5 linked regions of the Nothobranchius furzeri genome follow. The protein of the gene in region 1 purifies or fractionates together with the protein of each later gene. This does not show direct contact. Links are inferred from orthologs where the notes say so. Each region holds a gene or a part of one and is shown in the gene's direction. Other genes may lie near its edges. The genes, in order: nifk, rrs1, ftsj3, rpl18a and ddx24.

Region 1 (5,221 bases):
GCTGGTATTTTGGCCCATTCCTCCATACAGATCTTCTCGAGAGCAGTGATGTTTTGGGGCTGTCGCCGAGCAACACGGACTTTCAACTCCCTCCACAGATTTTCTATGGGGTTGAGGTCTGGAGGCTGGCTAGGCCACTCCAGGACTTTCAAATGCTTCTTACGGAGCCACTCCTTTGTTGCCCGGGCGGTGTGTTTGGGATCATTGTCGTGTTGGAAGACCCAGCCACGTTTCATCTTCAAAGCTCTCACTGATGGAAGGAGGTTTTGGCTCAGAATCTCACGATACATGTCCCCATTCATTCTGTCCTTAACACGGATCAGTCGTCCTGTCCCCTTAGCAGAAAAACAGCCCCAAAGCATGATGTTCCCACCCCCATGCTTCACAGTAGTTATGGTGTTCTTGGGATGCAACTCAGTATTCTTCTTCCTCCAAACACGACGAGTTGAGTTAATACCAAAAAAGTTCTACTTTGGTTTCATCTGACCACATGACATTCTCCCAATCCTCTGCTGTATCATCCATGTGCTCTCTGGCAAACTTCAGATGGGCCTGGACATGCACTGGCTTCAGCAGCGGAACACGTCTGCCACTGCAGGATTTGATTCCCTGCCGTTGTAGTGTGTCACTGATGGTGACCTTTGTTACTGTGGTCCCAGCTCTCTGCAGGTCATTCACCAGGTCCCCCCGTGTGGTTCTGGGATTCTTGCTCACCGTTCTCATGTATCATTTTGACCCCACGGGATGAGATCCTGCGTGGAGCCCCAGATCGAGGGAGATTATCAGTGGTCTTGTATGTCTTCCATTTTCTGATAATTGCTCCACAGTTGATTTTTTCACACCAAGCTGCTTGCCTATTGTAGATTCACTCTTCCCAGTCTGGTGCAGGTCTACAATTCTTTTCCTGGTGTCCTTCGAAAGCTCTTTGGTCTTGGCCATAGTGGAGTTTGGAGTCTGACTGTTTGAGGCTGTGGACAGGTGTCTTTTATACAGATAATGAGTTCAAACAGGTGCCATTAATACAGGTAACGAGTGGAGGACAGAAAAGCTTCTTAAAGACGTTACAGGTCTGTGAGAGCCAGAGATTTTCCTTGTTTGAAGTGACTAAATACTCATTTTCCACCCCGATTTACAAATAAATTCTTTAAAAATCCTGCCATGTGAATTTATGGATTTTTTTTTCACATTCTGTCTCTCACAGTTGAAGTGTACCTATGATGTAAATTACTGACCCTGCCGAGACACCTGCCGGCCGCGACATTTGGAATTCTAGGATGTCCAAGGAAGATCCCGCCTTTCTCGTCTCTGATTGGCTAGAAAGGCTCTACCACGATTGGCTATTTCATTTAACAGCAAACTGGCTGTCCTGCTAAGGGCTGACAACAGTCCTTCTGCCACCAGCAGAAAGCTGTTTTGGGGAGTTTAGTAAAGAAAATGTGAACTTAGCGCTATAATAAACATTTTGTCCTGGTTTGCGAAATATTTTGTTTAATAAAAAACTGAAAAACATAAAATGTGAATTTTAAATCTTGCTGCATTTATCAAACTGTTGGACTTACTTTATTTCTCTTGGCTCTTAAGCATTAGAGTATAAACATGCCTTACCTGGGTATGACATTTAATAAAACTGCCCTGAGCTGCCGGTCTGTTTCTTCTCTAGAATAATGAATACTGGTGAAAAATAGGTCTAAATCATAATCAGCTTTAACTTAATTTTTGATTACATGATATACATTTAATCTGATGATGAGAGATGTGCTCTAACTTGTAAACAGCCTTAACCTATTAAAGCAGGATAGCCTAATAATGAAGTAATAAGATAACCTCAATAGAGCCAGCAGATACAAAGTCAGTCTACAGTGTGATAAAATGCCACACGATTTATTACAAGTTCACATTTGATGTTTTTCAGGTTCTTTTATGAAAGAAACTGGACCTGATTTGTTGCTAAACAGAAAATTATGTTTATTATAGCGATGAGTTCACATTTTCTTCAAAAAAACTCCTCAAGATCTGGCTATAAACATAAAAACCTGCAGCGAGGGAAAACGGTTTCCTCTTACACGAAATAGCCAATCGCAGTAGAGCCCTTCCAAACAATCAGAGGCGAGAAAGGGAGTAAGACGAGACCTTCCTTGGAAATCCTAGAATTCCAAATGACGCCTCCCGGCCTGCAGGGGGAGCGCTGTGACACCAGCACGACGCCACGACCAGCGCTTCCGTTCCGTCTTCGACTACCCACATGTCGGAGCTCCAACGTGTTGTAAGGCGACATTGATCCTCAAAGCTCTTTAAACGTCTCCGTTTGGGTCATAAAAAACGAGCGAAATGACGGAAGGTAAAGCAGAATCCACCTCAGCGCGAGCAAAAGAGCTACTGGCTCTGAATCCGGCCCAAGAGTCCGAGTTTAAGAAGAAAGTCCAGGAGGCGAAGCAGAAGAAGTCCGGGAAGGTGGGTTCCGATGGAAGTGTGGCTCTGATGGAGATAAATCTGATCATTTAGTTACTGGATTACACTAGGATTTAACTACCCGGTTCTCTTTAGGGGTTTTGAACGCATTTGATTTTGTTCTTTAATAACTATTTTTAAGGCCACCTTGTTTAGCTAGTGCACACGTTAGCTTAAACTAACAGCTACAGCACTCTCCTCCCAGTCCCACCCTGCTAAAGAAGGCCTGGAAAAGTTCCCCCACACATCAAAGTGATTTTTCATTTATGAGCTTTTATAACCTTGTTAATCAGGATAGTTGATTTGCTGCTGCACATAAACCGTCAGTCAGAAGCTCTGCTAGCCGGTTAGCTTAAGAGGAGCTAGTTCAGTTTGTTAGCTTGTTATCAGAATCATAGTTGCAGTTTCATCATCTGAGCTGCTTTTTAAGATCTAGGTAAACTTGTTCAATTTGGGGTTAAAAACTAACGTTTTCACATATTTTCCATGTAGTTTTTTGCCAGTTCCTCTTGTGAAAGGTAGACAATTGTTTTTCTCTTTCCCTCAGAAAATCTTAATATTCTCCCAGTTTGGCCCAGCACAGTTCACTTCCCAATAGCAGCAACAGCCTTATATCATAACCACATAAGTGGAGAAAATGCTCAGTAGCAATGAGAGAATTTGCTGTTGCATTTAATGATGTTAACTATTATTTAACATTTTTCAGATATTTTTATTTATTCTAAAACCCTGGTAAGGGATGTTTTTCTGTATTTGGAGCATCAGAAAAAGTTTTATGGTGGAGGTGATGTTTTAAAGTCACTGAGAAACTGCATGCATGCAGTTTATTGTTTTGCTGCTAATACAGTAGCAGGTGCAGCTGCTAATACAGTAGCAGGTGCAGCTGCTAATACAGTAGCAGGTGCAGCTGCATATTTTTGCAATAAAAATGTTATGTTGTAATGGAATTCATGCATTAGTTTTTGTTTGCTCTGAACCCAGAGCAGACTTCACACGCCAAACGACATCAACACTGCATACTTTAGTATTTTTTCATTTATCGTGAGTAATATCGACATTGCAATATTAAGCACTGTTATCTAATATCGCAGGTTTTCCTAATATTGTGCAGCCCTATTTTATACCATACTAGACTAGTTTTATAAAACATTTAACTAGTTTTATACCATACTAGACTTGTTTTATGCCATATTAGACTAGTTTTATACAACATTTAATTACTTTTAAACCATATTAACTAGTTTCTTACCATATTAGACTAGTTTTATGTAGGGCTGAGTACTCGATTACAAAAATATTCAATAGCTGCAGCCCTAGTTTTATACCATACTAGATTTATAAAATATCAGACTAGTTTTATAAAACATTTAACTAGTTTCATACCATATAAGACTAGTTTTTAAACCATATTTAACTGTAGTTTTACATGATGCACCATCAATCATAGAGCACAGGACTATATTAAAACTTTAATTAGGAGGCTAACAATAACTTAGACTAGTGGTAATAAACGTTACTAGTGATTAATATAAACATGTGGTAATAGAAGGTAATTAAAGACCTAAATGATAAAAAAAAGTGAAGCAACATTATAATAACTTTAATAAACACAATCTAGAAAGTTATTAATCTGTTGTTCTTCCAGCCAGTCTGTAGTCTTATATCATGTAACTGGATGAGTGTTTCTCTAGACTTCTTAAAGAATTGAACGTTTTCTGTCTTTTCAGGGTGGACGTCTGACTCCAGGTGTTGTTTACGTCGGTCACCTGCCTTTGGGACTATTTGAGCCGCAGCTTAAATCGTACTTTGAACAGTTTGGGAGGGTCCTGCGTCTTCGTTTGTCCAGAAGCAAGAAGGTGATGTTGAACGGTGCCATGTTTAGTGAAGACTAATAGCTTTATTTACATCATCAGAGCAGCAATGGCCCTGCAGCTCTGCTCCAACACATGTGGCTCAGGCTGAAAATGGTCTCGGGTGTAAATGTGGTCTGAGGTCAGATAACTGAGCCTAAAGTATTCTGGTGCATTAAGCTTATTGCCTGCTGGACCTGATAGCAGAGCGATAAAACCCATGTCCCAACATTCACTAAAGGTTGGTTTATGCTTGACGTGTCCGCGAGGTCCGCGCGGCAAAATTGCGTCATTTTAACAACCACGCGCCTCCGCACGGCCCAAACTTTCCGCACCGCACACCTAGGAAATTTTCTAACCACGCGGACGGTCGGACGCGGTAAAACATGGCGGACTGGCAAGGACTAGTATGGCAGAGGTTCGTAAATACAGACATTTGTATGATTCGGCTCTCAGAGATCACAGTGATCAACATGTTGTTAATAATTCTTGGAGAGAAATAGCTCGCACTGTCGGAAAAGACGAGAACGCTGTTAAAAATGCTGGAATGCCATGTTGTAAACAACAGTAATGTTTACTTCTACTATGGTGTAGTGTTGGATGCATGCCATAGAGCTCCATGCTGCCCCCTACAGTTTGGGAGAATATTGGCTCACCGCAGAGACGAGCCGCACGAACCATAAACGCTGCGAGTTGTGAAGCGCGGTCCATCCGCGAGCCGCATCACTGCGCGGAAAGTGAATGTGTCAAGCATAAACCAAGCTTACTCCAGATGTGACCAGCCTGGGATGGAGACGTTTCCCCTCCTGAAAGCGGGGCTGGGTACTGATCCATGTGTGCTTTGTTACAGACTGGTGGAAGTAAAGGCTACGCGTTTTTGGAGTTTGAATGTGATGAAGTAGCAAAGATTGTTGTGGAGACCA
Region 2 (4,199 bases), about 26 Mb from region 1:
TGGTACACAGTGCAACAATGAGAAGGGGTGTAGTATTAATAATTCAAGGGATTTAATCTCACATGAAAACATGTTCAGCCATCCTGTAGGGAAGTTTATCACAGCTGCAAACTTTTAAATGATCCAGAGACACTACAGGAGTCTGAGAGCAGGAACTTTCTAAACACTGTATATTAATATATTAAAACTGGTCATTTTCATACACATTTTTACAATTTCATCCAATCTTATTAGACTTATTTAACTATTCTGGTTTATTAAACACAATTTTGTTGTTGTTGTCTTTAGAAGGTTCCATTCATAAAGTAAAAAGTTGTGGTAAAAATTTTTGTTTTCTTATTTTAATTCGAAACAAAATGCAAAATTCTGCCAAATGTGGACAACTTTCTATGGGGTCAGCAATTGCAATAGCAAATATACCGTAAAAGTGAGAATTTTAGCCAGAAGTCACAGAATAAGAAATCTGTTGCATCATTTTAAATTTCTGCATTCATAAATTATGCATAATGATTTTATTTACAGTACTCCTAAAAGTAAACTTAGAGGGATGTGTACAAAAGCTGATGGTACTTGGAGACCTTTTCTAAAGATTTTAAACTTACGTAAGCCGTTTATTCTAATTCTTGACATCTAACATAATAATTTAACGTAATGTTTTGAAGCTGTGGAACGTGTGCATTTGTCTTCTCTAATTTAAGCAGATTCATCCTAAAATGCATGTAAACATGGCATCCAGTTTAAATCACTACTGAAAACTCATTTATTCAGGCAGGCTTTCTCAAATGCCTAATGTAACCGCAAACATTTGCTTGACTATGTTCTTCCTACTGTTATTTTATGTAGATTTTAACTAATGTGTCAATGTGCAATGAATATCTTTATGATAATGATCTATTGATTGATTATTTATGACTTATCTGTTGATAATTTTAACTTGAATTGTTAGTTTAGTATTTTAGCATTTTACTGTTTTCATTTTTAACTTGTATCTGTTTAACTGTTTGATTTGCATTTTTAATTTAACAGTGTTTTAACCTGTATCATGTCGTTTCTGTTAAAGTGACCTTGAGAGTCCTGAAAGGTGCTTACAAATTAAATGCATTAAAAATGCATGTAAACAAGCTGCAATGATTAATATGCAAGTGTGTATTTGTTACACAACATAATGATGCAATAGGCTTGTTTGAACTCAGTTTTAAATCATAGAAGCGTGCTTACAATAAAGTATGCATAGTAGAAAAATTTAAATTTGAACATCTCATTGAAAAGATCTGCATTTTTTAAGTTTTTGTTTATATTTGGCGTCCTTAAGCACCATGAATTAATTAATTAATGTTCTGCTGTGTGTACATAAACTTGCAAGATAGCACAGCTGATTAGCATGTTCATATGTCTGTATATATTTGTTATTGTTATTGTTGTGGCTTACAATGAATCACATTTATTCCGTCACTTTTCATTTCGTTCTGTTTTGTACTCTTGGTGAAAACAGCGACCGCAGTGCCATCTAGTGGCCAAAATGAGAACTTCCGGTTGCTGCCCACGACCCGGAAGTACATTGCCTTGTTTTTCCGGATTCGCACGTGGGGAGTTGAGCGTTCAGAAAATGGCTGCGAGCAGTGTGGAGGAGTTGTTAGCCAAAGCCGAGCAAGAAGAGGCTGAAAAACTGAAAAGTATCACCGTCCAGAAGGAGCTGGACCTGGACTTCGACCTCGGTAACCTGCTAGCTTGTGACAAAAACCGCATCGAGACGCGGGACTTCAGAGAACAGAAGAAGGAGGACTTCTTGCGGTCGCTAGCTCGTGACAACACACAACTTCTCATCAACGAGATATGGAAACTCCCCACGGAGAGGGTCGAGGAGGTGATAGTAGCTAAGCTACCGGAACCGACCACCCGGCTGCCGAGAGAGAAGCCCCCACTGAAGCCTAGACCTCCAACCAAATGGGAGCAGTTCGCCAAGCTGAAAGGCATCCAAAAGAAGAAGAAAACCAATCTGGTTTGGGATGAGACCGCGAAGGAGTGGAAGAGACGCTGGGGCTACAAGAGGGCTAACGACGACACCAAGGAGTGGCTGATTGAGGTGCCAGAGACTGCGGACCCCAACGAGGACCAGTTCGCTAAACGGGTCAAAGCCAAGAAGGAGCGAGTGGCTAAAAACGAGTTCAACCGGCTGAAAAACATCGCCAGGGCGCAGAAAGTCAAAACCCCCGGCGTGGGACTGGTCCCCAAAGCTCAGCAGTCCAGAAACGAGCTGGCCAAAGCAGTGAGTGTGGCCAAAGTCTCCACAGCATCTGTTGGGAGGTTCCAGGACGACCTGCCCAAAGAGAAACCTCCAAAGAACTCAGGCAAGAGGAGGAAGTTTGACCCTCTGATCGGTGACTTCTCCAGCGAGAAGCAGAAGCAGCTGGATCTGCTGAAAACCATGGGCAGCAAGAAGCCCAGACTGGACATCACCAAGGCTGTGAATCAGCAGATGAGGGAGGAGGACAAAGAGGAGGCTGCAGCCAAGCGCAGGAAGGGGGGTGGGAAGAGGGGAAGGAAAGGGAACATGACTGGGAAGGGGAAGGCTGGGAAAGCTGGAGGAGGGGGGAAGGCTGGGAAAGCTGGAGGAGGGGGAAAGAGGAGAGGAAAACCTGGGAAGAAATGAGAACTTTAATAAAAAATATTTAAAAAATACACTTTCATACAGCAGCGATAAGTAACTGATGTTTATTTTTCGTTGGTGTTTTTGAAATAAGAGATTTAAAACATCAATATTTTGACTTTCAAGAAGAAATCTGGTGTCATTTATACAAATCTGTTGTTTATGGTTAATTTTACAAATGTATGAGTTGTATTAGTTCAGCAACAAAGCATTTTGGGAGAATTAACATTAGATTAAATAATTTGCTGTCATAATTATAAAGTTTAGACCTTTTTAGGTGGAAAAAGTGTTTAAGAAAACCAATAGTTTCAAAAAGCCTCATTTGAAACTTTAATGGCTTTATAATCTGTTTATTTAATTTTTTAGGTTTATATTCAAATAAACCTGGAAGAAAAGGCTCAAATTCATCCTAAAATTGTCACTGTCATGTTGCGTGTTTATTTGTCTCAACCTTAATTCATGAAATGGATACATTTACAAATAAATAGTATTTCACCTTATTTTGTCCATGTTTCATTTTAGATTTTGAAGTTACATTTATTTAGAAAAACAAGTACAGTGATCCCTCGCTACTTCGCGGTTCGTTTATAGCGGATTCACGACTTCGCAGATTTTTTCTTCGGAGCCTTATTCAAGGGAAATTCGCCGATTCGCGGTATTTTTCACCGATTTGCGGCATTTTTCTATGCGAAATATCAAGAAATTCCTGTTTTTTCATCATAAAATGCACTTTTTGTAATAAAACAAGTAAAAAAAGATTTTTCTTGAGTTTTACCCACAAAAAGAGAATGTGATCATACGATAATTCAATATAGTACTGTACTGTAAATATGGTGTCCCTACTTCGCGGATTTTCACCTATCGCGGCCAGGTCTGGAATGCATTTACCGCGATAAACGAGGGATCACCTGTAATCTAAAAGTGCACTGAAAATTCATATAATTCAATGCTTTAGGGTCACGAAGAACTAAATCTGTTTACCGATAAACATCAGATAAAATAGCAAATGGGAAAAAAATTTCAGATAAATATAACTTTCAGACTGAATAAATTTAAGTGATGTCATTTTTTTCATTCAAAGCAACGTAGGAATATTTGCTGTTATTGATTATTACTGTAAATGTTGAAAATAACTGAAAATTAAGATGATTATTAAACCAGATCGATAGAGCTGATCAGCATTTTGGTTCAAACATGTAAAATATTATTTCTACATAATACTGATCACAGGTTTACAACAGAGCAGGCCTTCAGGTGTATTTTTAAGGATGCTTTTATGTTTATCTGTCCTAGATCGGCTCTAATTTTCTCTTTCCTAGAAGTGAGCATCAGAGAGGTTTTTCTAAGAAGCTGTGACGTTATTTTTAGTTACGGAAAGTCTTTGTGTCCAGACTGCAGGTAGCACTAATGGAAGCTCAAAGCTGGGATTTGTACCTTCAGTATGTTTGCACACAACTTAAACCGATAAAGGACGCTTTAAACAGGTGATGTAACTTCAGCAGCGACCGATAATGAGGTCTTAATCCATTTTAAGGTTTCTTTTTTCAGATCA
Region 3 (3,283 bases), on another chromosome or scaffold:
AAGTACACACTTTTATTCTAACTGAACCTCAAAATGATAGTTATGGAAGGATTTAAAGAGGATTAATGTTAACTTGTTGTTTTGTTTGTAGTTTAAGTTCAGATGAAGAACAAAGTCATTCAGAGGACGAATCGGCCAAGAAGAAGGAAGATGACAAAGAGAATAAGGATGAGGATGATGAGGAGGAAGAAATGGAGAAAAAACTAGCCCAGCTGAAAACTCAAGAAGTGGCTGAACTCAAACGGTTGGATATTTTCTTCAAATTTGATCTAAATGCATTTTTACCTTTATTGCTGTTGCTCGTTTTCTATAGTTTGCATGGATTTTGATGCTCTATCAGGAAGAAGAAGAAGCTGTTGAAGGAGAGGAGGAAGCAGAGGGAGAGAGTAGAGCTGAAGATGGACCTGCCTGGTGTCTCCATTGCCAGCACCTCAGACCCATCCTTGTTTTCACTATCATCCATGAAGAAGTCAAAGGTTAAACCAAACAGAAGATGCAGAGTCACAACAGCTATTGTTTTTTTGTGACAACTGCTTTCATCTGTTGGTCTGCATGTTTCATTCTAATTTAAAGCCTTTTTGTTGTCTCCGTTGTCTGTCAGGTGCTGGCTGATATCACTAAAGGGGACATGCAGGCGGCAGACAACATGGTAGATGGAGAAGATGACATTCACGTTTCAGATGAGGAGGAGGAGGATGGAGCAGATAAAATGTCTCTGGCATCTGACTTAGATGAAGATGATTTGGAAGAAGTGGAACAAAGACAGAAAGTGCTGGAAAAGAAAGCATCCAAAAAGTAATAGTTTTTTTTCTGCATAAAAACGTTTTACTTGCACAGAAAAGTCACTTCTTTTTTTTTTTGTACTTACAGAGTAAAGTTTGAGGAGGAAGAGCAAGAAGACGAGGATCAGGAGGGTGGGCTGCTGGTGGAACTGGAGGGAAAAGAGGAGAAAAAGGAGCAGCAGACCAATCTGTGGTTTAGCAAGGTTTGTTTCCCATCAACGATAGGCTGAGCTCTTCAGCAGCGTGTAACAATGACGATGATAATAATAATAATAATAATAATATAATAGCACTTGTTATTGCATTTCAAAGTCAGGGACCCCAAAGTGTTTTACTGCACAGTTAGGCACACTGATGTTGATGAGCTATTGTAGCCACGGCTGCCCTGGGACCACCGGCAGATAAGGACGGTGGGGTGTTTCGGCCAGGGACACAACAACTGAGACTGAAGGAGCCTGAGTTTTAACAGGTGTTGTGTCAAAAAAAAAGCCTGCTTGTCAAAATTTGCACCCCCTGTTGAAACAACTGCATATTGCAGAAGTAAACTATTAGAAGTATGAACGATGAGGCTATTTTTAATAGATTCAGAATGTTAACAAGTTGCTGATCTGGGTTTCTCCTTTAAAGGTTTTGGTTTTAACTAGAAATATAATTAAATAATGAATAAACAGTAAATGTTTTTGACTTTTTTCGTCTGAACACGTCTGAGACAATATGTTACTGAGTATTTTTATATTGCATTTTGTGCCGGCTTATTAAGCTATTTTGCTGTTGGTTTAGAAAAAAACAGCTGTGTGACTGAAAGGACAAACCTTTTAAAGAGTTATTATAACTTCAAATAAAACATGTTATAACCATGATTTATTTCATTTATCTGCCCATAAACCATCAATTTGTAAGGAGCCACGCAGATAAGAAACATGTTAAAAGTATGAATTTATTAAAAAGCTGCTTCCTTACTCATATGCGCCTTCCCAAAACAGATGCTAATTTCCGCAGGCATGCTCTTTACAGCACAACACCTGTAACCCAATAATTACGGGATCTTGCTGATCGGGTGGGACACTTTAGATATTATTGATCCTTAGAAAGCTATGATCACGGTCATAAATGCAAGCAGGGATAAAATAACTGTAAACACTTTGGTAAAGCCACTTGGAAATTTAAAATAATGTCCAACTCACCAGTCAAAGTCTCACATCATTGACAGAAGAGTGACATCTGGAACAGACTCTTTTACAAGGGTCCAATTAATGTCCTCCAATAAAACATTTATTCCACAACAAGTCTTACGTGCATTATCCAACACAACTGACTGCTGAAAACCTTCAAAGTTCTTTTCAGATGAGTTTCCTACCACAACTTACGCTAGCATCTTCATATTAACGTTAAACGGCTACCTGATCCAACAGGTGACCCCTCCAGCTGGGGGTACAATCTTCAACTACTGGCTGACAGTTCAAAGGCACCGCCCTCTTTTGTTACATGTATAGCTTGAGCCTATAGCGATGCGGTATGTTGTTGATTGACGCACCAAATCAATGAAAATCAGAAAACAATGGAACCCTCGTGGTCTGCTTCAACAAACTGAAAGATGGATCCCTGTGTGTCAGGTTGCTACCATTTGTCATTTGTATGTAGGTTGGAAAGTTTTACATATGGCCCAACCTCCTATTTTCTTAGTATTTCAGCCTGTGGAGACTAGTTCTGTTTTTGGGAGAAAACAGCACAGAGAGATTGTTGTTTTTGAGCAAAACTGCAGGAAAGTGACTCATCTCATAAAAAAAAGCATGACTGCCTATGCATAAATATGTTTTAGTAATTAGTCATTTGCTTTTTAGGGCATCTTTTCTGAAATTGACCTGGAGGGAGATGCAGAGAGTGAGCTGAAACAGACCGAACTGCTCCAGAGCAAACAGTCAGGTAACGGGCTCCCTCGCCCTTTTTCATATTTATATATTCATTCATTATTAGACGAGCTATATTTTTAAAGGTCAGTTGTTAGCTTGACTCTGTGTCTGGCAAAACTAATATATTTGAATGTTTTCTAGGAAAAGGCAAAAAAAGGAAATTTGAGGAAGAAGAAAAAGCGACTGGAGAAGAGAAAAGGGAGGAAGCTGCTCCTCCAGATGAGACAAAAGCAGGACCGTCACAGGAAGCTGTGGAGGAAAGTGACAGCGACTCAGACGATAGCAGCGACGATGAGAAGTAAAACTTTGCTTTCTCTGACTCTGTTTTTTTATCTCAAACGTGTAAATAATGTATAGAAGGGAAATTAATTTTAAATCATAAACCCTGGAAATCAGATAAAATGAATTACAACTGAACAGACTGGTCCATCTTCAGGGAAATTGCCAGTATGAAGCCAGGAAAGGGAGCTAATGCTGCATCAGGAGAAGCTGACGAGGACGGATTTCAGGTTGTTCCTGTGGAAAGTACCAGTGAGTATCACACTGCTCACTCTGGTTTACATTTGACTTTAATTTAGGTCATTTAGTTCA
Region 4 (4,900 bases), on another chromosome or scaffold:
CAACCAGTAGGCTTTGGTCACTGGACCTCAGGGACCTGCTGGGGGTGTAGGGACTGCAGCAGAGGAAGATGCTGCTTCAACTGCCCGAGTCCTTGCTGATGACACTGTCCCATGAGGGATCCACTTAGAATACTCCATCATCTCTGTTCATCGTTGAGTGTCCACGTCTCCTTATTTCAGTCGCTTCTTTGTATTTTTGTTGTTCTGTGTTTATGATCCGTGTTCTGTCCCAGTCTGTTTGGTGGTTTTCCCTCGTGCAGTGGTGTTACGGCTGATTTCTTTATTGTACTTTCTGCTCTTGTGTGTTGAGTTGGCGTCCGGTTTCTCTTATGAAAGTTTTATTGCTGAGCTGTCCTGGGATTTTATGTATGACTCCACATTATTTACCTGCTGATATCTTGTCCTTTGGGTAAAAAGGAATAGCTAAAAGGATAAAAGGAACACTTTGAATTTACAGAAAAGTATCCTGTAGTGGTTTCTCCTAGGGAGTTCACGATTGTGATGAATGCAATACCGTCTGGTATCAAAATGCTGCTAACAGGATCCTCTTTTTTGGATGGTTTGGTGACTTATACTGACCTCGCTCAAACATACGTTGGTAAAATTTGCTTTTCTCCAAAGAAATCATGCAATAAATCTACCAGAGGTCTTTTTCAACAGCTTTCCATCTCCTCTCCCTATATTATTTCATTTTGGAACTCTACTGTAAATAATATTCCATGGAATAAAACTTGGCTTTTACCCCACAGATATATTTTAACTAATGAAATTAGAGAGGTTTCTTTTAAAATATTACATAACTGTTACCCTGTTAAACATTTTATTTCCCAAAGATTTAAAAATGACATTGACACCTGCTGTTCTTTCTGTAACAGTCATCCTGAAACAATTACTCACCTATTCTGGACCTGTACAAATACTTCTAAATTCTGGTCTGATGTCTTAGATCTTCTGCAGCAAAAGGTTCTTCCTGATGTCTCCTTCTGTTTGAAACATGTTATTTTTGGATTTTTTGAAGGCAAAGAGAGTAATAGAATCTACATACTGAACCTAATTTTTATTTTAGCTAAATACTATATTCATAAGTGTAAATATACCCATGTTAATCCTTTTTTACCTGTCTTCCTCTGTGAAATTAAAAAATATGCTGATTCTATTAAAAACTCAGGAAATTTAAAAGCTATAAAAACTTGGAACCTACTTGAAGAATACGACTTGTACAACTGGTAACACATTTTCTCCCTCTCTATTCCTTGTAGTACCTGATTGTGCTCTGTATTCTTATCCTTTGAACACTGTTTTATCACTTTGGCCCCTTTGTTTGTTTGCTTGTATTGTTGTGCTTTACTTCGTTGCTATGTAAGATCCCCAATTTCACTAATAAAGTTTGTTGTAAAAAAAAGGATAAAAGGAAGTGGCGTCACCAACACCGGAGATCGCTGATGACGGCTAGAGCAGACCTTTTGTGATAAACCCTAACCCTTTAGGCTTTGGGCTAGAGATACTAGCTAAAACATGTCGTAAAAACGTTTTTACTAAAACTTTGTTAGAAAAGAACAAAAAAATTGATATTGTCTATCTACATGATTTAAATAAAGTTATGGAGAAAAAAATCATCAATCATTGACCAATCATGTGTGTTTTACAAATCATATGTGACTAAATTTGCATAAAAAGGCTGTCCTAGTGCTACTGACATGCGCAGTCGCTACCTTCTTCCCTCCTCTTTGACTGTGGCAGTGATCGGGAGACACCATGAAGGCCTCCGGAACCGTACGTTCAGACTCTTATTTAGTCGTTTTAGCCTTCATACGCGCTCTATAAAAGACGATATAACCGTGTTACATACATGTAACTGCATTACTGAGCTAGCATGTGGTAAAAGTGCGCTTAAGCACAAAATATTGAGGTTTTCGCGCTGCGCCTGTTCGGCTCTAACATGGCGGCGGCACCATGTGGACGCGTTTTACACGTTCGGTGGTTAAAAGCGTCGGACACGGTCTCAGCTCCAGTTGTAGTGGCTTTACTGATCGGTGTTTTACTCGACCTTCACACTTTAGTCACATTTAGAGCATATGTCCAGTTTAAGACGGGGGTCCGGGTCATTCGGAGGCTCTTTAGCGGAGGTCTGTTAGGCTGAAAACCATCGGTGTTGGTTTTATTCTAAATGCATCAAAACAATAAAAGTAAAACGTTTCAGAAATGAGTTGAGGAGCAGAGCGAGTCTCAAAGTAAAAGAAAAACTAACATTCAGCCGGTTTAAAACGTTCATTCTGACTAACTGGGTTTTGGACCAGAACCTTAGCAGAGATGATGCCTTTAACTGGGACCAGTAAAACCCTGTGATGGTTCTGGACATCTGAGCAGCATGAATGAATGAATGATCAATTTATTCAGTCAGTCATCTTAAGATAATATACAATAACATGTCATACAAATACCATTTCTCACTAACATATACATGTTATGTTGTAAATGGTGTCTATTTGGTATCTCATGAACAGGTTTAGGCAGAAGCAATAGCTTATAGAATTGCCTAACCTACTTACAAAACAATTTTTCAATTTCCCGCAATGAACCAACTACCCAAATAAAAGTAAAACACAAATCCATCCATCAACATCAAATTAATACTCTTCAAAAATATTTTTACTGATAAGTTTTTTAAGAACTGAAAGAGAAGTTGCTAATTTTAATTCTATTTTAGCCTCATTCCAAAATTTTACCCCCATTACAGAGATACATCTACTTTTCATGCCCTTTTTGGCTTTTTTAAGAACAAACATACATACACCTCTTAAATCATATTTACTTTCCCTCTTTGCAAAAAACATTAGTATATTTTCTGGCAGAGCCGTTAATTTTACTCTAAACATAAATTGCATTATTTTATAATAATATAGATCTTCTAGTTTCATAATCTGTGATTTTAAAAACAACGGGCCAGTATGAGCATAATAATTGCTCTTGTTCATAAGTCGAATAGATTTCTTTTGTATAGTTTTTATTTCATGTATATATGTTTTAAAAGTTGAACCCCATATTTCTATACAATATGCCATGTATGGTTGTATTAGCGAACAGTATATTAGACGTAAGGCCTTATGGTTTAGTATGTCCTTCAGCTTATATAATAGACCCAAAGATTTGGCAATTTTTCCTTTTATATAATTTAAATGATGCTTCCAGGATAAGTTAGAGTCAATCACAACACCAAGAAATTTTATTTCAGACACTCTTTCAATTTCAGTATCTGAAATTGTTAATTTAAAGTCCCAATTTTTTACCTTCTTATTTCCAAAAATCATAAATTTAGTCTTTTTTATATTCATTGATAGTTTATTTACATCAAACCAAGATTTGAGGATATTTAACTCTTTTTCGGCCTTCTTTAAAAGTTCTTTAACATCTTTACCTGAACAAACTAAATTTGTATCATCTGCAAACATGAATTTGAAAAAATCTGTCACGTTACATATGTCATTTATATATAAAGTAAATAATATAGGACCTATTACTGAACCTTGTGGAACTCCACAACTTATTTCTCTAAATCCAGATTTTATATCTTTAATTTGTACATACTGTTGTCGGTCTTTTAAGTAACTTTATCCAGGACTTCGCTATACCTCCAGAAGGTTCCTCATACATCGTTGTTGTTGAGTTAAAAACTCAGCTGGTTTTATTTAGAAGTTGGTTTATTTCCAGATCCTAAGTGTTTCCTGTTCTTTGACCGGAACCAGGTGGAGAAAGGTTTCAGATGGGCTCAAACCTGAGAAGGAGGAGTTCTGGTCGCACAAAGCCGTGTCTTACTGATGCACCCTTGTCTTGTCTTGTTTGTGTCTGCACCCAAACCCAAAGGTCACGCCGTGGTCAGTGGCGTGATTTTGTCTGGTGTGCAAACAGGAAATGGTCCTTGTCGCCTTTCTCTGATGCTGCGGTGCCTTTGAAAGTGAATTCAAGGTCCAACATGCTTTGATGGTTTCAGGCTTCTATGATGTGAAGTTCTGACATGTTCTGGTTCTTTCTGCAGCTTCGGGAGTATAAAGTCATCGGGCGTCTGCTGCCCTCGCCCAAGAACCCCGCCCCTCCTCTTTACCGCATGAGGATCTTTGCTCCAAACCACGTGGTGGCAAAGTCCCGTTTCTGGTACTTTGTCTCGCAGCTGAGGAAGATGAAGAAGGCTTCAGGCGAGATTGTCTACTGTGGCCTGGTGGGTGAAATGAATCAGAACATTTTCAGTAAAAAGATCTGAGTCAGAGTCCCGTCCACATCCCATCGTAGATCAGCTGTCAGAAGAAGCGACGTTTGGTTCTCATGAAGCTGAGCCTGGCTGATCCGTTCATAACCCCCTCTGTCCTCAGGTCCACGAGAAGACGCCCCTGAAGGTGAAAAACTTTGGTATCTGGTTGCGTTACGACTCTCGGAGCGGAACCCACAACATGTACAGAGAGTACCGGGACCTGAGCACGTCTGGAGCCGTCACCCAGTGCTGTGAGTACCGGTCCAGCCGAGCCGTTAGGTGTTTGTGTTCCAGGGCAAACGGGTCAAAGATGGAAGAAACGTGAACCTGGGCTAGGGCTGCAACAACAAATCCATTCGTTATCAATTCGTTGTGTTGTGCAACCTTTAAGTAACCGTCACTGCTCATCTGATGCGGCAGCAGATCAGACCGAGGCACATCTATGTCGCTCGTGTAATTGGTGTGTTTCACCGGTGCACACTGAGCTAATCTAGGGGCTGTGGAGGAAAACCGAAACCAGCGAAGACGCAGAAGCAGAAACAGTCCAGAGTTTAGTGCCAAAAGTGTAACTACAAGCAGATTAGCTAACGCTAGCAGGTAGCAGGCTCACGATCAAGTGGGTTCAGGAAAACCCGATGTTCATGAAACGAAGAACCT
Region 5 (5,112 bases), on another chromosome or scaffold:
TTCCAAAGAAAATGCAAAATTAACTTTAGTCAGAACATAACATTGGACCAGTCAGCAGCAGTCCAGCCCTCTTGGTCTTTAGCCCAGGTGAGATGCTTCTGACATTCTTGTTCAAGAGTAGCTTGACACAAAGACCCATGTCTTGTATACATCTGTTTGAGGATTGATTTAAGACGTGTGATGCGGCGGAGTTGGAAAAAGCAGGACTTGACAGTGTTTTGCTGTCATTTGACATGGCAACCTAAACACCCTCAACTTTAGCAATGACCTTTTGTGTCTTGCCCTCCTTGTGCAAGGTGTAATGGTCATATTTTGGACAGGTAAGTTAGCAGTCTTCCCCATGATTGTGTAGCCTACAGAACTGGGCTGACCCCTTCTTTCCACTGCACGTGAAAGTGTCGCAAAATGAAGGATGCCAGAATTGGCTGCCGTTATCGTGGATGAGTTCCTTTCCACTACCGTGACGTTTTGAAGCGAGGGCATGCTATCGTTACGTTTTGAGTATGTTTTTTACGTGCTAAACTTCCAAAACATGCCCAACTGTGCAGTTTAGATCGCACCAGACAGGAAGTCATATGCAAAGCAGTGTAGAAACTTTCAAAATTAAAGTAACATGCAGGTAAACGTATGTCATTTCCTGCTATAACCCCCAGAGCAGATGTAAACAAGAGAAAATAAACCAGACCTTTTGTGAGTAATGCAGCTACCTTTCTGCTTGCTTATTGTGTGTGGAGTTCTGAAATCACGGGTGGTGTTACAATTCTTCCGTGATTTTGTAACGTCACGGGATCAGCTGTGTGGAAGACTTTAACTCCCATTTTGCATCATTGCTCCAGGGGCTTGCGGGGTAAAATCATCGACATAAATGGGTAAAATGCCTCTTTTACATTACGCGACCACTTTCATGGCTGGTGGAAAGCCGGGGTGACAAACCATTTAAAGGCATTTGCTGGTGTTTTGAGTTAATTAGCTGATTAGAGTGTGGCAGGAGTCTCCAATATTGGCTCTTTTCACAATAATCTAATGTTCTGAGAAACTGAATTTGGGATTTTCCTAGTTGTCAGTTACAATCATCAAAATTAAAGAAATAAACATTTGAAATATATCAGTTTGTGTTTAATGAATTAATCTACTATAAAAGTATCCCTTTTTGAATGGAATTACAAAAAGAAATCAACTTTGTCATGATATTCTAATTTTAGGACCTGTTCTTGGCTAATCTAACACTGGCTATTTGCTCTTGTCAGTTTTATTTTCTATGTGATGGTTAAGGATGGTCACCAGACACCTGAGAGGGCTTTTTAAGTTAAACCTTAGATTGTTGTCTGGCCCATACAACAAAAATACAATGTTAGTGTGACTAGAAGCATTGTCCAAAATATTTATTTGAATAAAAAACATCGTAAAACCTCAACAGTAAATGAAATCCCAAAACAAAAATGATTTTAAGACGAGCAAATATACAAAAGAAAACTATAGCCTCAACTATTATGTACTTTTGAGTTGTGCATATTACTACTTTTTACAGCAAAACGTAATATAAATGTTCTCACGATTGTACATTTTTACTGAGAAACACCCAGAACCCTGATGTAATAATAAAAACTGAAATAATAGGTTTCATTAGGCTAATCTGGAAAGTTTTGATTTTGGGATTTGTCTTCCGTTGTTTGACAAATAAAGTTTTTACAAACCACGTGACGCACTGTCATGGCGGCGTACTTGTTCGATGCGTGGATGTAGATCAAAAACATCTTTTATAAGCAACTTGCTTTTAAACCAGGTATTTGTTTCCCTTTATGACTGATGTAGCTTAATTTAAACATTTTACAACTAATTTACATGTTTTTGTAATTGTCGTTGCAGTTTCGTCACAAAGGCGCGACACACAGCGTGGGGAAAGTCACATTTTAGCAGTAACTGAATCTTTATTCGAGACAGTTGTTTACAGGAACACGAAAGTACAGAAGATGAAACCTAAAAACAAACGTGTTTCCTCTGGAAAGAAGAAGAAGGCAGTGAAGTGGAGCATCGATACGAGAGGCGAGTGGAAAGCCGTGGAGCTGGATCCCAGTCTAATTGTGGAGAAGGGCCTGGAGGATCTGGTGTGCTTCGAAGAGCTGACAGATTACCGCCTGGTAGACAGCGAGAAGGCTGCAGCCAGAGCTGCTAAAGAGCTGAAAACAAAGAAGGCAAAGAAAAGAAAAGCTGAGGAGACAGGGAAGGTGGAGAGCAAAGAGGCAGAAAACACAACTGAACCTGTCAAGAAAAAAGCAAAAAAGAGAAAAAACAAGAAAGGAGCTGCTAAAACATCAGATGATCATAATAAAGCTGTGTCAAAAGAGGATAAATCTGCTGGTGAAGACGGAGGAGGAAATAATGCAGCACATGAAGAAAAAACAGCAGAAGTATTAGAAAATACATCAGCTGGTACCAAAAAAAGGAAGAAGAAGAAGAAGAAGAAAGTAAAGCAGCAGAGGGTTCAGGATGTGGTTGCAGATGAACAAATAGACTTGGAACGTTTACCAGAAAAATCCAGTCATAATAAATCTGGAAAGCCTCTTAAGAGAAAGACTCAGAACTGGGCAAATGCAGCACTGTCTGGTTCTGATGACAAAAAGTCTGATGTGAGTGCGTGGAAGGATCTGTTTGTGCCACCCCTGGTTCTGAAGGCACTGAGCAGTCTGGGATTCAGCTCACCCACACCAATTCAGGCCCTGGCGTTGCCACCAGCTATCAGAGATCGGATGGACATACTGGGAGCAGCTGAGACTGGTAAGGTCACTTCAACTTTCATCTTTTAAACAGTCATTAAGATTATTGGCTCACCTTGCTTGTGTACAATTTTAGGAAGTGGTAAGACTTTGGCTTTTGGGATTCCCATGATCCACACCATCCTGGAGTGGAAAAGCGGCGCAAAGAGAACAACTGAGGACACTGGACCGGCCTCAACGGCGGAGAGCTTGCGTTTACCGTCAGATGATGTTCCCACAGAATTACCCAACCAGGACAGTGATGAAGATTCAGAGGAAGGTGATTTAGATCAGACTCTAGAAGCCTCTGATGAAGAAGATGCCGAGGATGGCGATGAGAATGAGCAGCTTGGGTGTGTTAAAGTGATCGACAAAGTGGAGTTTGATTTTGAGGAGAAAGCTGACGGTCGGAGTCGTCCTCTCCTTGGGCTGGTTCTCACTCCCACCAGGGAGCTGGCTGTTCAGGTCAAACATCACATTGACGCTATCACCAAATTTACAGGTGAGCTTTTATTACACAGAAGTGTTGATCCGCCGCGGGATGTATCTCCTTTTACACTTTTGTTGGTGTTTCTGTGCTGCAGATATCAAAACGGCGGTCGTTGTAGGAGGAATGTCTCAGCCGAAACAACGACGGATGCTGAAGCGCAGGCCCGAAATCCTCATTGCCACTCCGGGACGTCTGTGGGACTTAATTAAGGAGCAACATCCTCACCTGCTCAACCTCAGACAGCTCAAGTACGTCACAGTTCAAATCCCTTCAGCATCTGATTCATAAAACTCATATCCCAATATGAAAAATATGATAGCAAGCATCCACAAATCACAAAGCAATAAACTATAGATCCATACCAACTGCATCTTTTGTCAGAAACATAGAAACTCAGCATTATTAGTTTAATTACATGCATGCTTCTTTTGGCACCTGTCTGGCTCTGGTGCTGCAGGTGTCTGGTCATCGATGAAGCCGACCGCATGGTCGAGAGAGGTCACTTTGCAGAGCTGGAGAGTCTGCTGGAGATGCTGAACACGACTCACAGCAACCCTACGAGACAAACATTTGTCTTCTCTGCTACTCTGATGATGGCACACAGCCTGCCCAGCCGCCTCCTGCAGAAGAAGAAAAGGAGTCTGGACTCCAGGAGCAAACTGGAAATTCTCATGGAGAAGGTGGGGATTAAGTCTAAACCCAAAATCGTTGACCTCACCAGGAAGGAGGCCACGGTTGAGACGCTGACGGAAACACGGATCCACTGTCAGAAGGACGAGAAGGACTTCTACTTGTATTACTTCCTGCTTTGTCATCCTGGACGCACCATGGTGTTTGCAAACAGCATTGACTGCATCAAGAGACTCACCTCTCTGCTGGCGATCTTGGATTGTTCTCCGCTGCCTCTACACGGCAACATGCACCAGAAACAGCGCCTCAAAAACCTGGAAAGGTTTGCCGAGGGGGAAAAGTAAGCAGTGCGCTTACTTGTGTGTACAGTGATCCCTCGTTTATCGCTGTAGATGCGTTCCAGACCTGGCCGCGACAGGTGAAAATCCGCGAAGTAGGGACACCATATTTACAGTACAGCACATTCTCTTTTTGTGGGTAAAACTCAAGAGAAAATTTTTTTACTTGTTTTTTTTTTATAGTTTTATTACAAAAAGTGCATTTTATGATGATATTGATGAAAAAAAACAGGAATTTGATATTTCACATAGAAAAATACCGCGAATCGGTGAAAAATGCCACGAATCTGCGAATTTCCCTTGAATAAGCCTCCAAAGAAAAAATCCGCGAAGTCGTGAATCTGTGATAAACGAACCGCGAAGTAGCGAGGGATCACTGTAACTTATGATTTTGTGTGTTCTTGTTGTTACTGAAACATGATTTTTATAAAAACTTTTCAGTTAAATAAAATAATTCCAATAATATAAACTCACAAAAACAATAATTAACTTCTGAAATGATGAGCATTACCTTTAAAGATGCACCTTCCTGAATCTGGCTTTTTACTTTTTGCCTTCGCAGCTGTGTTCTCTTGACGACTGATGTGGCGGCCAGAGGCCTGGACATCCCCGATGTTCAACATGTTATTCACTACCAGGTCAAACCTAAAGACCTTTACCTACCATTAATGGGTGTTTTGTGTAAAAGTTGTAAATTGTTGCTGCTTTGTCTAGACGTAGATAACATTTCTCCACTTTGCTTGCAGCCAAGGCCAAAGAGCAAGTTCCCTGAGACGCTAATTTTACTTCTTATTTTTGAAATACAATCAGTTACTCTGAGCTTAACATACTGGCTAAATGTGAAAATAGTCTTCTACCCCTATTTCCTGCATTGATATAGATGGGCAAATGCTCAGATTAC

What was found.
Region 2: the proteins of nifk (region 1) and rrs1 purify together in Homo sapiens (affinity purification with mass spectrometry; 3 studies listed by BioGRID and IntAct, counting the BioPlex papers as one, with this or other methods). This does not show direct contact. The link is inferred for Nothobranchius furzeri from reciprocal best matches to the Homo sapiens genes NIFK and RRS1.
Region 3: the proteins of nifk (region 1) and ftsj3 fractionate together in Homo sapiens (co-fractionation; 3 studies listed by BioGRID, with this or other methods). This does not show direct contact. The link is inferred for Nothobranchius furzeri from reciprocal best matches to the Homo sapiens genes NIFK and FTSJ3.
Region 4: the proteins of nifk (region 1) and rpl18a fractionate together in Homo sapiens (co-fractionation; 3 studies listed by BioGRID and IntAct, with this or other methods). This does not show direct contact. The link is inferred for Nothobranchius furzeri from reciprocal best matches to the Homo sapiens genes NIFK and RPL18A.
Region 5: the proteins of nifk (region 1) and ddx24 purify together in Homo sapiens (affinity purification with mass spectrometry; 3 studies listed by BioGRID and IntAct, counting the BioPlex papers as one, with this or other methods). This does not show direct contact. The link is inferred for Nothobranchius furzeri from reciprocal best matches to the Homo sapiens genes NIFK and DDX24.

Annotation. Positions count from the first base shown.
Region 1 is NC_091747.1:25,624,500-25,629,720, reverse strand, and holds the start of nifk (MKI67 FHA domain-interacting nucleolar phosphoprotein), read left to right. Parts: upstream 1-2,161; 5' UTR 2,162-2,328; coding exon 2,329-2,451; intron 2,452-4,175; coding exon 4,176-4,304; intron 4,305-4,401; exon of another isoform or gene 4,402-4,532; intron 4,533-5,148; coding exon 5,149-5,221.
Region 2 is NC_091747.1:51,664,515-51,668,713, forward strand, and holds rrs1 (ribosome biogenesis regulatory protein homolog), read left to right. Parts: upstream 1-1,558; 5' UTR 1,559-1,606; coding exon 1,607-2,650; 3' UTR 2,651-3,147; downstream 3,148-4,199. UniProt on the Homo sapiens protein: Involved in ribosomal large subunit assembly. May regulate the localization of the 5S RNP/5S ribonucleoprotein particle to the nucleolus.
Region 3 is NC_091748.1:59,325,807-59,329,089, forward strand, and holds part of ftsj3 (pre-rRNA 2'-O-ribose RNA methyltransferase FTSJ3), read left to right. Parts: coding exon 1-2; intron 3-91; coding exon 92-244; intron 245-340; coding exon 341-476; intron 477-601; coding exon 602-795; intron 796-870; coding exon 871-985; intron 986-2,623; coding exon 2,624-2,705; intron 2,706-2,833; coding exon 2,834-2,990; intron 2,991-3,128; coding exon 3,129-3,223; intron 3,224-3,283.
Region 4 is NC_091741.1:33,470,607-33,475,506, reverse strand, and holds the start of rpl18a (large ribosomal subunit protein eL20), read left to right. Parts: upstream 1-1,667; 5' UTR 1,668-1,755; coding exon 1,756-1,773; intron 1,774-3,842; exon of another isoform or gene 3,843-3,974; intron 3,975-4,033; coding exon 4,034-4,213; intron 4,214-4,364; coding exon 4,365-4,494; intron 4,495-4,900.
Region 5 is NC_091758.1:31,646,180-31,651,291, reverse strand, and holds the start of ddx24 (ATP-dependent RNA helicase DDX24), read left to right. Parts: upstream 1-1,675; 5' UTR 1,676-1,783; intron 1,784-1,866; 5' UTR 1,867-1,970; coding exon 1,971-2,775; intron 2,776-2,850; coding exon 2,851-3,255; intron 3,256-3,337; coding exon 3,338-3,491; intron 3,492-3,700; coding exon 3,701-4,213; intron 4,214-4,773; coding exon 4,774-4,849; intron 4,850-5,112. UniProt on the Homo sapiens protein: ATP-dependent RNA helicase that plays a role in various aspects of RNA metabolism including pre-mRNA splicing and is thereby involved in different biological processes such as cell cycle regulation or innate immunity.